Linked DNA regions of Mus musculus: all the other regions are reported to be linked to region 1. The links are microRNA targets in miRTarBase. Many come from high-throughput screens and were not tested one by one. Region 1 holds a microRNA gene; each other region holds the end of a gene's coding sequence.
Evidence for each region. The annotated mature microRNA mmu-miR-136-5p reads ACUCCAUUUGUUUUGAUGAUGG and lies in region 1 at 1,351-1,372, shown strand. An mRNA with a match to its seed (bases 2 to 7 or 8) in the 3' UTR can be bound and repressed. Matches are read on the target gene's strand: a 7mer-m8 pairs with bases 2 to 8, a 7mer-A1 pairs with bases 2 to 7 and ends in A, and an 8mer does both.

Region 1 (3,119 bases):
GGCAGAGCACGACAAACTCATGGTAGTCTCTGCGATCTCCAGAGAAGGGCCTGAGGGAGGGCAGGCGACCTTCGTTGATAGCCTGCATCATGAGCCTTTCTGCCACTCTCTGTTGTTCTTTTAGGTCTTGCATCCGGAGGAACAGCGAGATGACGTTCCCCATGGTGGCCACGACTTCTTCTGGAGAGTTCTTGGGCTGACCTTCCTCTTCACCACCTTCCTCTTCCTCCTCTTCCTCGTCATCTCCCAGGTCAGTATCATCTTGGTCTGACTGGGTCTCGGATGAGTTGATTGTTTCATCCATGCTATAATCGGATGCCTCACTGAGTGGTTCCGACCCTTCCTGGTTTGAAATATCACTTGACTGGTTTGAACTGTCGCTTGACTCCTGGTTCGAATTATCGCTTAACTCCTGGTTTGAATTATCACTTAACTCCGGGTTTGAATCATAGCTTGACTCCTTTTGTGAACCATCGCTGGACTCCTGGTTTGAACCACCGCTTGACTCCAGGTTGGAAACATCGCTCGACTCTGGGTTTGAACCAAAGCTCGACTCATGGTTTGAACCATTACTTAATTCGTGGTTTGAACCATCACTCGACTCCTGGTTCGAACCATCATCACTTGATTCCTCCATGTCTTGGGGTAGATCGTTAGATGATGCCTCACAGGGGTCGCTGGATGGCTCCTCCACTTCCCGGAGTAGATCAGTGGGTAGCTCTTGCATTTCCTGGTAGGGGCCACTGGATGGCTCCTCCACTTCCCGGAGTAGATCAGTGGGTAGCTCTTGCATTTCCTGGTAGGGGCCACTGGATGGCTCCTCCACTTCCCGGAGTAGATCAGTGGGTAGCTCTTGCATTTCCTGGTAGGGGCCACTGGATGGCTCCTCCACTTCCCGGAGTAGATCAGTGGGTAGCTCTTGCATTTCCTGGTAGGGGCCACTGGATGGCTCCTCCACTTCCCGGAGTAGATCAGTGGGTAGCTCTTGCATTTCCTGGTGGGGGCCACTGGATGGCTCCTCCACTTCTTGGAGTAGATCAGTGGGCAGCTCTTGCATTTCCTGGTGGGGGCCACTGGATGGCTCCTCCACTTCTTGGAGTAGATTAGTGGGCAGCTCTTGCATTTCCTTGAGGGGGCCACTGGGTGGCTCCTTTTCTTCCTGGGCTGGGCCACTATCTGAGCCCGCCTGGGCCTCAACCTGGGCCTCAACCTGGGCTTCAGCCTGAGCCTCCGCCTGGGCCTCCACCTGGGTCTCCGCCTGGGCCTCCGCCTGGGCCCCTGCCTGGGCCCCCGCCTGGGCTCCACTGCTGCCTGGTGTCTCTTCAACGGTGTTGGATGAGCCCTCGGAGGACTCCATTTGTTTTGATGATGGATTCTTAAGCTCCATCATCGTCTCAAATGAGTCTTCAGAGGGTTCTATCATGTCGTCGGTTGGAAAGGAGTGTGCTCTGAAGACTGGTAAGATTGTGATGTGTGTGGTCAGAGACCGCAACTGTGGAGACCAAAACCTAGGGACAGAGGGATAAAAGACAGGAGAAAATGTAGCAATTTAGGTTCTCAAGATGGCAGGGTCAGATTCTATCTCAAGGACAAAGCAGATGCCAAGTTACTAGAATCAGAGAGAAAATGGAGAAATTCCTCCTGCATTCAGTTCAGCCTCCTTTTCTGGTTACTTGGGGCACCTCCAGGGGAAAGACCGTCACCCCCTGACCTGCCTTCCAGGCGGAGTCTGACTACCCCACCTGCCTACTTCCTCTAGTGGAATGAGAAATTCACAGCCCATAAATTTTGTGGAGCAACTGGCCTGGAGCGTCCTCTGTGGCGAGCTAGCACCTGGCAGGGCACACTTCTGGCCCGCTTTGCCCTGGCCAGGTTCCCTTCCCATTTGTAGTCACCCAAAAGTCATAAAGGTCACATCTCAATGCCACTCAAAGCGGCTGCTGGCAGGCTTGGTGGTCTAGAGCCAGCCCAGTGAGCTTGGTTGGAGGCGGGAATCTGCAGGGAGATGCCTGCTATTTCACAAACTGGGGAAAGAGGAGAAATTGGGCACTTGGCCACTATCCTGCCAGTTGGGTCAACAGCCAAAAATAGCTCTTATTTCCTCCTCTAGGCTCCAAGCCGAAATAAGTGAGAGAGAGCCATGGCTTTTGGTTTTAATTTTGCTCCCCATAAATGTTTATAAAATGCCTACTATGTGCTGAAAACATGCACTTTCATGGCTTCATCCTAGGTCACACTTTGTGCATATGCAGGATAAGAGGGGGGTGGGGGAGGGATAGTATCATTTCTCTTGTTCGGTTTGATCTCTGTCCAAAGCCACGTTTTCTCCAGCTCTGAGCTGAGTCGGAGCTTTCTAAACACCCTTTCCCGGGCTTTCAAAAAAACTGTTCTCCCAGGATTGCCTGGTCTGCAGGGCTCCTGCAGCTTTAAACATCTGGCCTCAATTCTGCTCATGCAAACATTTCTGCACGTCTCACAAATGCTATCTTTCCAAGTTTCTCCTCTGCTTCGGCAGGAGCAGGGTTTTCGTTCTCAAAAGTGCCCCCCCCCCCTTTTCTGTCACTGTTGATTTCGTCTGGTACAGGGGTATATCTAACAGAGGTATGAAGTTGGGTGAAAGGGGGGGCATGGGACCTTTGAAATCTGATTGTTCCGTAATTTTTGAAAATCTAGCCATGGAGGGTTTAGTGCACGGAAATTGAATTTAAAGGGATGTATTGGTTTGCAAAACAAATTAAGCTAGTTATTCAATAGCTCAGCCATATAGCTATTGTCTTTATGAATTCTGCACCTTCTGTTACTTCTCAATTTTCTTTTTTAAGGTCACTGGGCTGACCTATCCAAAAACAGAAACACACACACATACACACACAAAACCAAATAAACAGAAATCTCCCATGTTGTCATTCATGTAAAACTCCCGTTGGCCATCCTCCAAACCTTGCAGCAGGATGCTTTTGGGTCTGCAGTTTCTCAGAATTAGACATCTCCTTGTTAGCATGACACTTAAATTCGATCATGCAACCCCTCTGATTAAAGCCTCTCACTGTTTATTTACTGTCGGCAATATTAAATCCAAACCTTTTATATAAACATGTCTGACATGTAAACTTACCAAA
Region 2 (3,119 bases), not on the chromosome of region 1:
CAGGTAGGTGTGTGTGTGAATATTTTTAAATATTCACAACTTTTCTATCTGATAGTTTTCAGGTTGCTTTGACACCTAAACAGAAGTCCTGGAAACCTACTTCAGAAACACATGATTCTAGGTACTGATAAACTAGCACAGGTCACAGCGCTATTGACACCAGTGAGAAGTGCACATTAATAACAGACTGGTCACTAACCTTAAGAGTAGGCTCTGAAAGTAGGAAGAGTGCCAGGGACCACATCTGCTCCTCTGCCTGCCTTCTGCTAGCTCTCCTGCATGAGTCAAATGTGCCTGAAATTTAGCCTAGAATCATTAAGCTCCAAAATGTTTAAATTGTAACATTTGTTAGCAATATATGTATAACAATGTCAAGTATTACAAAGTATTGTAAGGGAAAAATCCCTGAAAATACCATTTTCAAAGTCCTATTTACCCAAATAAGCAATAATATGCTTGAATATCACTTGCTACCTTGAGTAAAACATAGGAAATAAATACATGGCAGTTTAGAACCTTGACAAGCCTTCAAGGACAGGAAAGCATATTTCAGAAATTTGTTTTAATAGAGTCAAACATTTAATCTCTTCCACAGTAATCAAACATCATAGTAAGTTTGATATGACTCTTGCCACATCAGAGCAGGCAGGATTAACAAGCACAGTGCTTGGCTGATCTCTGCACACTGACTCTCTGACAGCAATGCTGATGGTTTTCAGTGAGTTGTGTGTGTTTTTTCGTTTTGTTCTTTTCTTTTTGGAGTGCAGTATTGGCAGTATTACTTTGGAAAAAATAAGATAGTAAAAAATAACGTAACTTTTATATATAGATTCTTCAAGGGCAATAACATGATAATATAATTATGGAAAAATATGCCTCAAGCATACTTTTTATAATTACTCAAGGTTTATTGTTTCCTAAATTAAAATATTAGACTGTTCTGGGAAAGTACACACTGAGGTTTGAGCTTTCTCCTCTATCAGCAGAGCACAGTCATGGTGTTTATGCTGAGGTGAGGTCAGTCCACCCAACGGTCTGATCTCTGACCATTCGTACTCACTCGAGGTTGGAATCAAGAGACTTACTTACCAGGTATTTTATACACAAATTTTATACCCCAGGCAGGTTCCCTGATTAGTTCCCACGCTAGTATAGAAAATCTGAAGAAACCACAAAGGACATAAACAGACATGTCATATAGAAGGGTAAAAAGGATACAGCATGGCCCTGAAGGGTTTTTCCATCTTAGAACAATACTTTTCATAAATAAAACTCTACTTTTTACATATATATTCAGCCTACAGCTGGTTTGGGATCATGGAAAACATCAATGACAATAGTCCTAAACTCTCCACTATTTTCTTTTGGTAGTCTTTAATTGCCTCCAGACCCCAAGGACTCTTCTCTAACTGATGTTCAATCTGTGATGCTCCGGAATAAACTTTACTGAGGTTTAGGATAAATCACACAGCTACGTGCACTGTCAATAATCTTCAAAAATGACCGAAACAAACTCTAAATACAAAGTATATAAAAAAGCATGTTAAGGATAGTTTTCCAAATCGTATCTAGAAATACAATATGTGCTGCCTCATCACAAAGCTGAGTAAATATTCTTTCAGAATCCTAGAAATGATGTAAGATGTCTTAGGTTTATTTGGTTCTCATAAGTTAAAAAATCTGATTGCTTTTACATAAATTCCTTTAGACTCCTACCTACATTTAGAATTTTATTAATATCTTTTCATTAGAGTCAAGAGATTAACTCTCCTTCAGAAATGTGCTTTTTATTGGTTTAAATAACTATGTTTAATTTTCTAGCAATAAACATGATTTAAAATTTAAGGTTCAAGGTAATTCTAGAAAAAGGTAGACAGTGAACGCTGCTCTTCTCTGTCCTCATATGTACAAGGCTGAGCCTGAGTGTGGACTTCTCCTCACGCATGTACCACATGCTCATCAACCAGAAGCCACCGCTCAGGTTCTGAAAGGGTTGAAGTTTTTCAACATCTCACAGCACTACAAAGTCAGTATCTCATCTGGATAGGTTATAAGTATTAGTGTCAATGTATTTTTTTTTTTTTTTTTGCTATTTGAAAATAAAAAATATTTTTTCTATCTAAATTGGATCCAAGCTCCATTATCAGTTCTCAAGGTAGTAGCTAAAATGTACATTACTAAAGAAAGGTAAAGCTGTCCAAGGGCTGAACCAGTTCAATATACAATGAAGGGTCAGCATTCCTGCTCTCTCCCCCTCCCCTATATTAAAGTCCTCGTTCCTCATGGATTAGGATATAATTTAACAATGTAAAGTTTCAGAAATAGTTGTGCTAACAATTACATCTTGAGAAGGATCAAACTTATTCAGTGACCTCCATCCATTGTCACACAGAACACAATAGCTTACTAACTGATTGGAGTTGCAATGTCACTAGACACAAAATAGGAGTGATATTCTCATTTGGCTACAGTGACAACACACACCAGTTCCGACCTGTAACATAAAACTCCAGCTCATAGAGAGTGTATGGTGTAACTTGAAAAAGCTGATTGTAACAAAGTAACAACCTTCCCCTGGAAAACATGAGCAAAATCCATTGGGAGATCAGGCACAGACGGTAGGGACTGGGTCTTCCTTTCCGTCATCTGCATAGGTGGTTCCCACAGACGTCAGCATTCCCTACAAAATCACACAGCTATTTTTTTCCTTTTCTTTCTCTTTGTCTTTTTCCCGAGGTTCCTTGCGTTTCCGTTCACTATTCCCAGGCTGTTTTATACTTGATGGAGAGGCTTGTGCTGGCTGGCCCTGCTGTATGAGAAACACAAATGGGAAGGGGTGACTGTTCCTGGGCACTGAATCAGAGCTAGCTAGCTAGAGCCACAGAGACAAAGGCATCCTTACAGAAACAGACGCTTTGTGGGCACAAGGGCACGGCTTCTGCTCACAGGTGTTAGGATTAGGATAAGAGATGACCATGGTCCACAGCTGGCCTGTTGCTGTGGGAGGTTTGGGCATCTTAGAGAAGAGGCCTACCTGGTTCACCTTCCTGCCTTGGGTCTGCTGCTGCTTTCTGATGGGAAGGACGGAAATTCTGTGCTACTACCTCCTACTTCCACCA
Region 3 (3,119 bases), not on the chromosome of region 1:
TTGGCCTGTCCCTACCATGGTGCAGGGCAAGGTCCAAGTTTTGATGCAGTTTTCTTTTTTTTTTTTTCAAAGATTCATTTATTTATTTATTATATGTAAGTATACTGTAGCTGTCTTCAGACACTCCAGAAGAGGGAGTCAGATCTCGTTAAGGATGGTTGTGAGCCACTATGTGGTTGCTGGGATTTGAACCCAGGACCTTTGGAAGAGTAATCAGTGCTCTTAACTGCTGAGTCGTCTTGCCAGCCTCCTTGATGCAGTTTTTTTTTTTTTGCCACAGTAAGATAATTTATCCCTTAAGGATCTAGGCCCTTCCACAGCATTGAGAACACCATGGACAAGGGAGAGTGCCTAGGCCGCAGCCTACTCACAAACTATTCCCCCTGTTCTTTCAGGACCGCTCAGGAAGTGGCAGTGAGGAAGACTGAACCAGACATTCCTGAGTCCTGACCCCGAGGCGCTCGTCCCAGCCAAGATGGAGTAGCCCTTAGCAGTGATGGGTAGCACCAGATGTAGTTTCGAACTTGGAGAACTGTACACATGCAATCTTCCACATTTTTAGGCAGAGAAGTATAGGCCTGTCTGTCGGCCCTGGCCTGGCCTCGAGTCTCTACCAGCATTAACTGTCTAGAGAGGGGACCTCCTGGGAGCACCATCCACCTCCCCAGGCCCCAGTCACTGTAGCTCAGTGGATGCATGCGCGTGCCGGCCGCTCCTTGTACTGTATCTTACTGGACAGGGCCAGCTCTCCAGGAGGCTCACAGGCCCAGCGGGTATGTCAGTGTCACTGGAGTCAGACAGTAATAAATTAAAGCAATGACAAGCCACCACTGGCTCCCTGGACTCCTTGCTGTCAGCAGTGGCTCCGGGGCCACAGAGAAGAAAGAAAGACTTTTAGGAACTGGGTCTAACTTATGGGCAAAGTACTTGCCTTGCCAGGTGTATGGGTTTTGCATTCCCATCACCCACACACCCTAAACAAGCCAAGTCAGTGAGCTTCAAGTTAGAGCCTCCACCTCAATGTGTACGTGGAAAGCAATCAAAGATGATGCCTAGCATCCACCTCTGGCCCTCATGTGCAGATGTACACACACTGAATTACATACACGGGACACACACATCCACACGGAGGCAGTCCATGACTTGCACTGGGGAGATGGTACCATAGGCGAAAGTGCCACAGGCACAGGGCCAGGCTAATTTAGTCCTGCAGTCCTGTGCTCTTAAGATGAAGGCACAAAGAGGAACCCCAGGCGCTCCAACTAGCATGCCAGGCAGTGACAAGACCCTGCTTCAAATGAATCAGAGCCCACATTCAGTATTGCCCTCTTACCCGATGCGATGCCCATGCCCTCACATATGAATGTGTATATATACATACATACGTAAAATAATTCTTTTTTAAATTATAGACATTTTTGTGTGAATGTTTTGCCTGAATGTGTGTGTGTGTGTGTGTGTGTGTGTGTGTGTGTGTGTGTGTGTATCAAGTACATTCCTAGAGCCTACAGAGGTCAAGGGAGGGCATTGGATCTGGAACTGGAGTCACATGAGGCTGTGAGCAACTGTGTGGGTTCCTGGGCCTTTGCAACAGCAGTTAGTACTCTTCACCACTGAGCCATTTCTCCAATCTCAAAAAGAAGCATTCTTTTAAATGAAGACTGAAATAAATAAGTAGGACTTGCCTTGGTTCTGTGCCTATAAGCCCCAGTTCTGCCTGCAGCCCTTTTGCCCTCCAGTTCTCCATTACCGCTCAGTCTTTGGCCATCCGTAGCTACCAGCTGCCTTGGGAGCCACAGTTGTGTGACAGCTCTAAGGCGAAAGGGGAAGTGTTGTACTCCAAGAGAAGTGTTGTACTCCACTCCAGTGGTGGAAGTTTGTCCCAAGGTCTTACAGCTCTGAAGAGAAAGGTCTCCTGGAAGTCTAGAGCCAAGGAATACCACAGAGACACACTGTACAACAAACCCCACAGGAGACTTCCCAGGAGGGAAAGATCCGAGAGTGTGGCAGCAGAGGCAAAGATCTCCGATTTCAAGGCCTGTATAGTGAATTCCAAGATTCATAGGGTTCATAGGCCCTGTCTCAAAATAACAAAAAATTTGTTCTGGGGCCAGGCATATAGTATACACCTTTAATCCCAGGAGGCAAAAGCTGGTGGATTTATTCATTTCTTTATTTTCGGTTTTTCAAGGTAGAGTTTCTCTTGTGTAGCCATGGCTGTCCTGGAACTCTGTGGAGACCAGTAGGCCTTGAACTCACAGAGATCACCTGCCTCTGCCTCTCAAGTGCTGGGATTAAAGTTCTACCAAGGCTGCTTTATATTGTTATGAGACAGTTTCACGTAGGCCAGGGTGACCTTAAACTTGGTATGGAGGTGCAGCTTGCTGTTAACTCATGATGATCCCAAATGCTGAGATTGCAGGCCTGTACCACCTAGCTAGTGCTCTTGAATTTATCTTCCAAGGCCAACCTGGTCTACAGAGTAAGTTTCAAGACAGCCTGGGCTATACAAGAAGGGAATACAGAGAAGCTGTCTTGGGGGAAAAATTAAAGAGTTCTAGGAGTCAGGCGGTGGTGGCGCACACCTTTAATCCCAGCACTTGGGTGGCAGAGGCAGGCAGATTTCTGAGTTCGAGGACAGCCAGGGCTACTCAGAGAAACCCTGTCTCAAAAAAACAAGAAAAAAAAAAAAAAAAAAAAAAAAGAGTTCTAGGGACTGGAGAGCAGTTAAGAGCACTGGGTACTCTTCCAGAGGATCTAAGTTCAATTCCCAGCACCCACACACAGGCTCACAACCATTTGTTCCTCCAGTCCTAGGAGGTTCAGTGCCCACTTCTTGCCTCGGGGTACTGCATGCATATAGCCCACAAGATATACATAGCAAAGCACATAAACTAAACATGAGTTCTACAGTCAGGCGGAGTGATGCATGCTTCCAGTCCCTGCAGGGGTGGGAAGATCTCTGCATTCAATAGTAGCTTAGTGTACATAGCAAGTACTGCATGATGAGAACTTGTCTCCAAATTCAAAAAAGTGTCCTGGGGACCAGAGAGCTAGCCTAGCAGTTACAGGTACTTGCTGCCAAGCCTGACAGGCTGAGTTTGCTTTGCAGAGTCCAG
Region 4 (3,119 bases), not on the chromosome of region 1:
ACAGCTATAGTGTATATTCATATACATAAAATAAATCATTAAAAAAAAAGAAAATCTGTTTCCATTCTACAGGTGGACACAAATACATACAGTAGAATTCTAAACAACACTCAGGCACACACTCTAATAACTATAGTTTGCATTATTTCAGCTATCAACCCTAAATAAACCCTGTAAATGAAAAGCCTGGCTAATTTTTTTCCTTGTGGGTAATCTGGATATTTATTTTTGGCTCTTGCTCTTCTTAAAAACCCGAGTAAGTGTGCAATTATATATAGAAATAATTACAAGCACTGAAAAGCTATGGATTAAAATACAATATTTTATTTTTCCTCACCTAAAAAACAAGCAACCCAGAATTAAGTTATACATAAGCTTCTTGAGTTTACCCTAATAAAATTTTGAATATTTGTACAATTTCTACAGAAACATACAGTGTATCAAAATCTGCATAAATCAAATTTATAAAATGTGTAGAAATGCATAGTGATATTATCAACTTACAAAGCAAGGCGATGGGGATTATTTCCAAAGCAGCCTGAAGTACAAAATAGTCATTATGGTGGCAGCTTCTGATACTTTCATGTGTGGAAAGGTTTCTGATTTCAATATATAGAATCATGTTCATATAGTATCCTAACGAATTGTAAAAACAATTTACTTTACCCATAACATGACATGCACAGTTCATGTGCCACCTTAGCCTATGCATAGATACGAGGTTAAAATCTATTTAACATGAAAAATGGTGTCCATTTCTAACACACAAATAATTACCAATTCTCCGAGTTTCCTCTCTACAGTGGATTTATTTGCAATTATATAAGCATATAAATGCATTTCTTCTTTAAATATCCCTAGAGATGAAAGTTTAAATAGTTGATCACAGGTCAGTAGCAAAATACAAATTGACAATTCAAGATTATAAATAAAACTGTTCAGGATGTTGAATTTTTACTGCCCAAATTTGATGAACTAAGGTTGGAAGAAAAATAATTGTATGCTTTTCTTCCAAAAAAAAATTCAGGCTTTTTTTTTCTTCTTTTCCCTAAGCTGTATTTAAAAATATTTCCTTCTGGCAGTAGTTTGTGAATTTCTGTCATCGATACCATGATTACATGATCAAAAATGTTTAACTGGCCCCAGCTCACCACATTGCTTTTCTTTTTCTTTTTTTGGCACTCAATGTAGACATTTTATCTTGGGGGAAGGGGGGTGTAATAAGAGACTTCCTAGAAATTAAAGTTTTCAACATTTGGTTCTCTTAAAGTAGGTATTGTATTAATAAATGTTCAAATTAAATCTTCTTTTCCCTGGGGAATATAAAAAAAATTTATACTTCTTAAAAAAGAAATTAAGGAACCCTACAGAGCTAGCATCTAACTTCGCAGAATGTCGTCCACATTTGTTGATGATTTGTATTCTTAGATAATAAGATCTAAGAATAGAAAATTAGATACTAATTTTCCTAAATTAAAAAGAATGCTCATGGAATTTCCTTTGAATGTAGACAAAGTGTCAGTTTATCTCTGTGCACAGCTTGTGCTTCGAGGTGGTTCTCTAAGGCTTCCATCTCACAAGGGCTTGGGGATTTTTACCTCAGGACCAACCTAAGGCGTCCACACTAGGGCTTTATTGTGTTGTTTCCCTGCCCCTCAACCCCCCTTCAAGTTTCAAACTGAGAATTATGTTTAGTTTTCTATGACTGGTACTGGGGAAAGCAGATGCAAAATGTAGATGGGCAAAAACCAACCCCTCCTTTTAGAAGAAGGACTCCTTTGCTAGCCTAGAAGCTGGTGTGAACAGAGGCCAGGGAGGTAATGCCACAGAATCTTCAAGCCCCACGGAACAGCCTTGAGTTGGGCCCACTGTTGTCCTCGACCCAGCCATACAACATTCCACTTCATAGCCAAGAAATTCTCCTGTGAGTAACAGACGGGTTCCCCAGGTGACATTCATTGTCACCATCATAGAAGTGTCACTAGAAGCTCTCAAACAATATACTGAGAAATGAAAGAGGCACTAAATGTGTTGAAATTCACCTTTCAAACAGCAGCGTAACTGAAGGAAGGCCACCCTGGCCAACGACCCGTGGCAGTGCTTCCGAAAGATGTAAAATTAAATACACAGCAGGTTGATCATCACCAAGTCGGATGTGAAAGTCTGCTTACTCCAACCTTTTTTTTTTTTCAAGTGTGTTAAAAAACAAGAACAACATCATCAACAACAAAAAAAACCAAACTGCCTTCCAGACCCCTGAGTGTATTCCCAAAGAAGACAACACATGCTTTAACTCGGCGGTTCAGGAAACCGAGTTAAAGGCACAAATTACCAACATCATCATAAAACAAAACAAAAAACGATGTAAACATCTAGAGTTTAAGGTAAGAGCAGTTTTGTAAACAGTCACTGCAGATGATAATGTTATTGTAAAATCACAGTTTATCAATGCCCCTTCCAACTGATCAGAGAGGTTCCAGGTTTGGAGCTGTACAAAATTAGTAATAATGGTTGCAGCAGGTTCCAGGCGGTTTTCAGTCCTCCATAAATGTACTTGTCAGTAGGTAGATTGTTGGTTTCCTCTGTTCTTGTCAAACACTGTGGATGTTATTCATCTCCCACTTCTGAGTCATTTTACTGGAGTCACAGGTGGAGATGAACACTTGATGCAGGACCTCCGATCGATCTAAGCACTTTCCGGAAGTGATGTGCGTAAACCTGTGCAGGCTCTGCAAAACACAGTGAGCCAAAGTAAGGTTTTTTTGTTTTTAAGATTTATTTATTTATGTATTTTATGCGTATGAGTACACTATTGCACTCTTCAGACCCACCAGAAGAGGGCATCACATTCCATTACAGATGGACGTGAGCCACCATGGGATTTGAACTCAGGACCTCTGGAAGACCAGTCAGTGCTCTTAACCACTGAGCCATCTCTCCAGCCCAAAAGTAAATGTTAAATGTGGATTCTGTTACCTCCAATAGGAAGACAGGGCATCAAGTGAAGGGATGGGGTTGCCATCCCACAGTCAAAACTCTGACCCAGAATTGTTTCTGTCTAAAAGAACTGCAAGGACAAAATTGGAGAGGAGGTTGAGGAAAAGGATGCTCAGCGACAG

Region 2: miRTarBase lists Mindy2 as a target of mmu-miR-136-5p. Seed matches in the 3' UTR shown: 7mer-m8 at 2,136-2,142.
Region 3: miRTarBase lists Smarca4 as a target of mmu-miR-136-5p. The part of its 3' UTR that is shown has no 7-base or 8-base seed match.
Region 4: miRTarBase lists Galnt7 as a target of mmu-miR-136-5p. The part of its 3' UTR that is shown has no 7-base or 8-base seed match.

The regions. Positions count from the first base shown.
Region 1 is chr12:109,593,981-109,597,099 of GRCm38, forward strand. Mir136 (microRNA 136) reads left to right here and starts at 1,347; the gene lies at 1,347-1,408. It overlaps Rtl1 (retrotransposon Gaglike 1), which reads right to left. Exons shown (of 2, transcript NM_184109.2): 2 at 1-1,508. The coding sequence starts at 1,423. It overlaps Mir434 (microRNA 434), which reads left to right and starts at 526; the gene lies at 526-619. It overlaps Mir432 (microRNA 432), which reads left to right and starts at 976; the gene lies at 976-1,050. It also overlaps Mir3071.
Region 2 is chr9:70,602,481-70,605,599 of GRCm38, forward strand. It overlaps Mindy2 (MINDY lysine 48 deubiquitinase 2), which reads right to left. Exons shown (of 9, transcript NM_172772.2): 9 at 1-2,809. The coding sequence ends at 2,681. Among named protein-coding and RNA genes, the nearest start is that of Mindy2, 53 kb to the right of the region's middle.
Region 3 is chr9:21,702,541-21,705,659 of GRCm38, forward strand. Smarca4 (SWI/SNF related, matrix associated, actin dependent regulator of chromatin, subfamily a, member 4) reads left to right here. Exons shown (of 34, transcript NM_001174078.1): 34 at 396-1,690. The coding sequence ends at 428. Among named protein-coding and RNA genes, the nearest start is that of Gm26511, 19 kb to the right of the region's middle.
Region 4 is chr8:57,523,523-57,526,641 of GRCm38, forward strand. Galnt7 (polypeptide N-acetylgalactosaminyltransferase 7) reads right to left here. Exons shown (of 12, transcript NM_144731.4): 12 at 303-2,729. The coding sequence ends at 2,592. Among named protein-coding and RNA genes, the nearest start is that of Hmgb2, 13 kb to the left of the region's middle.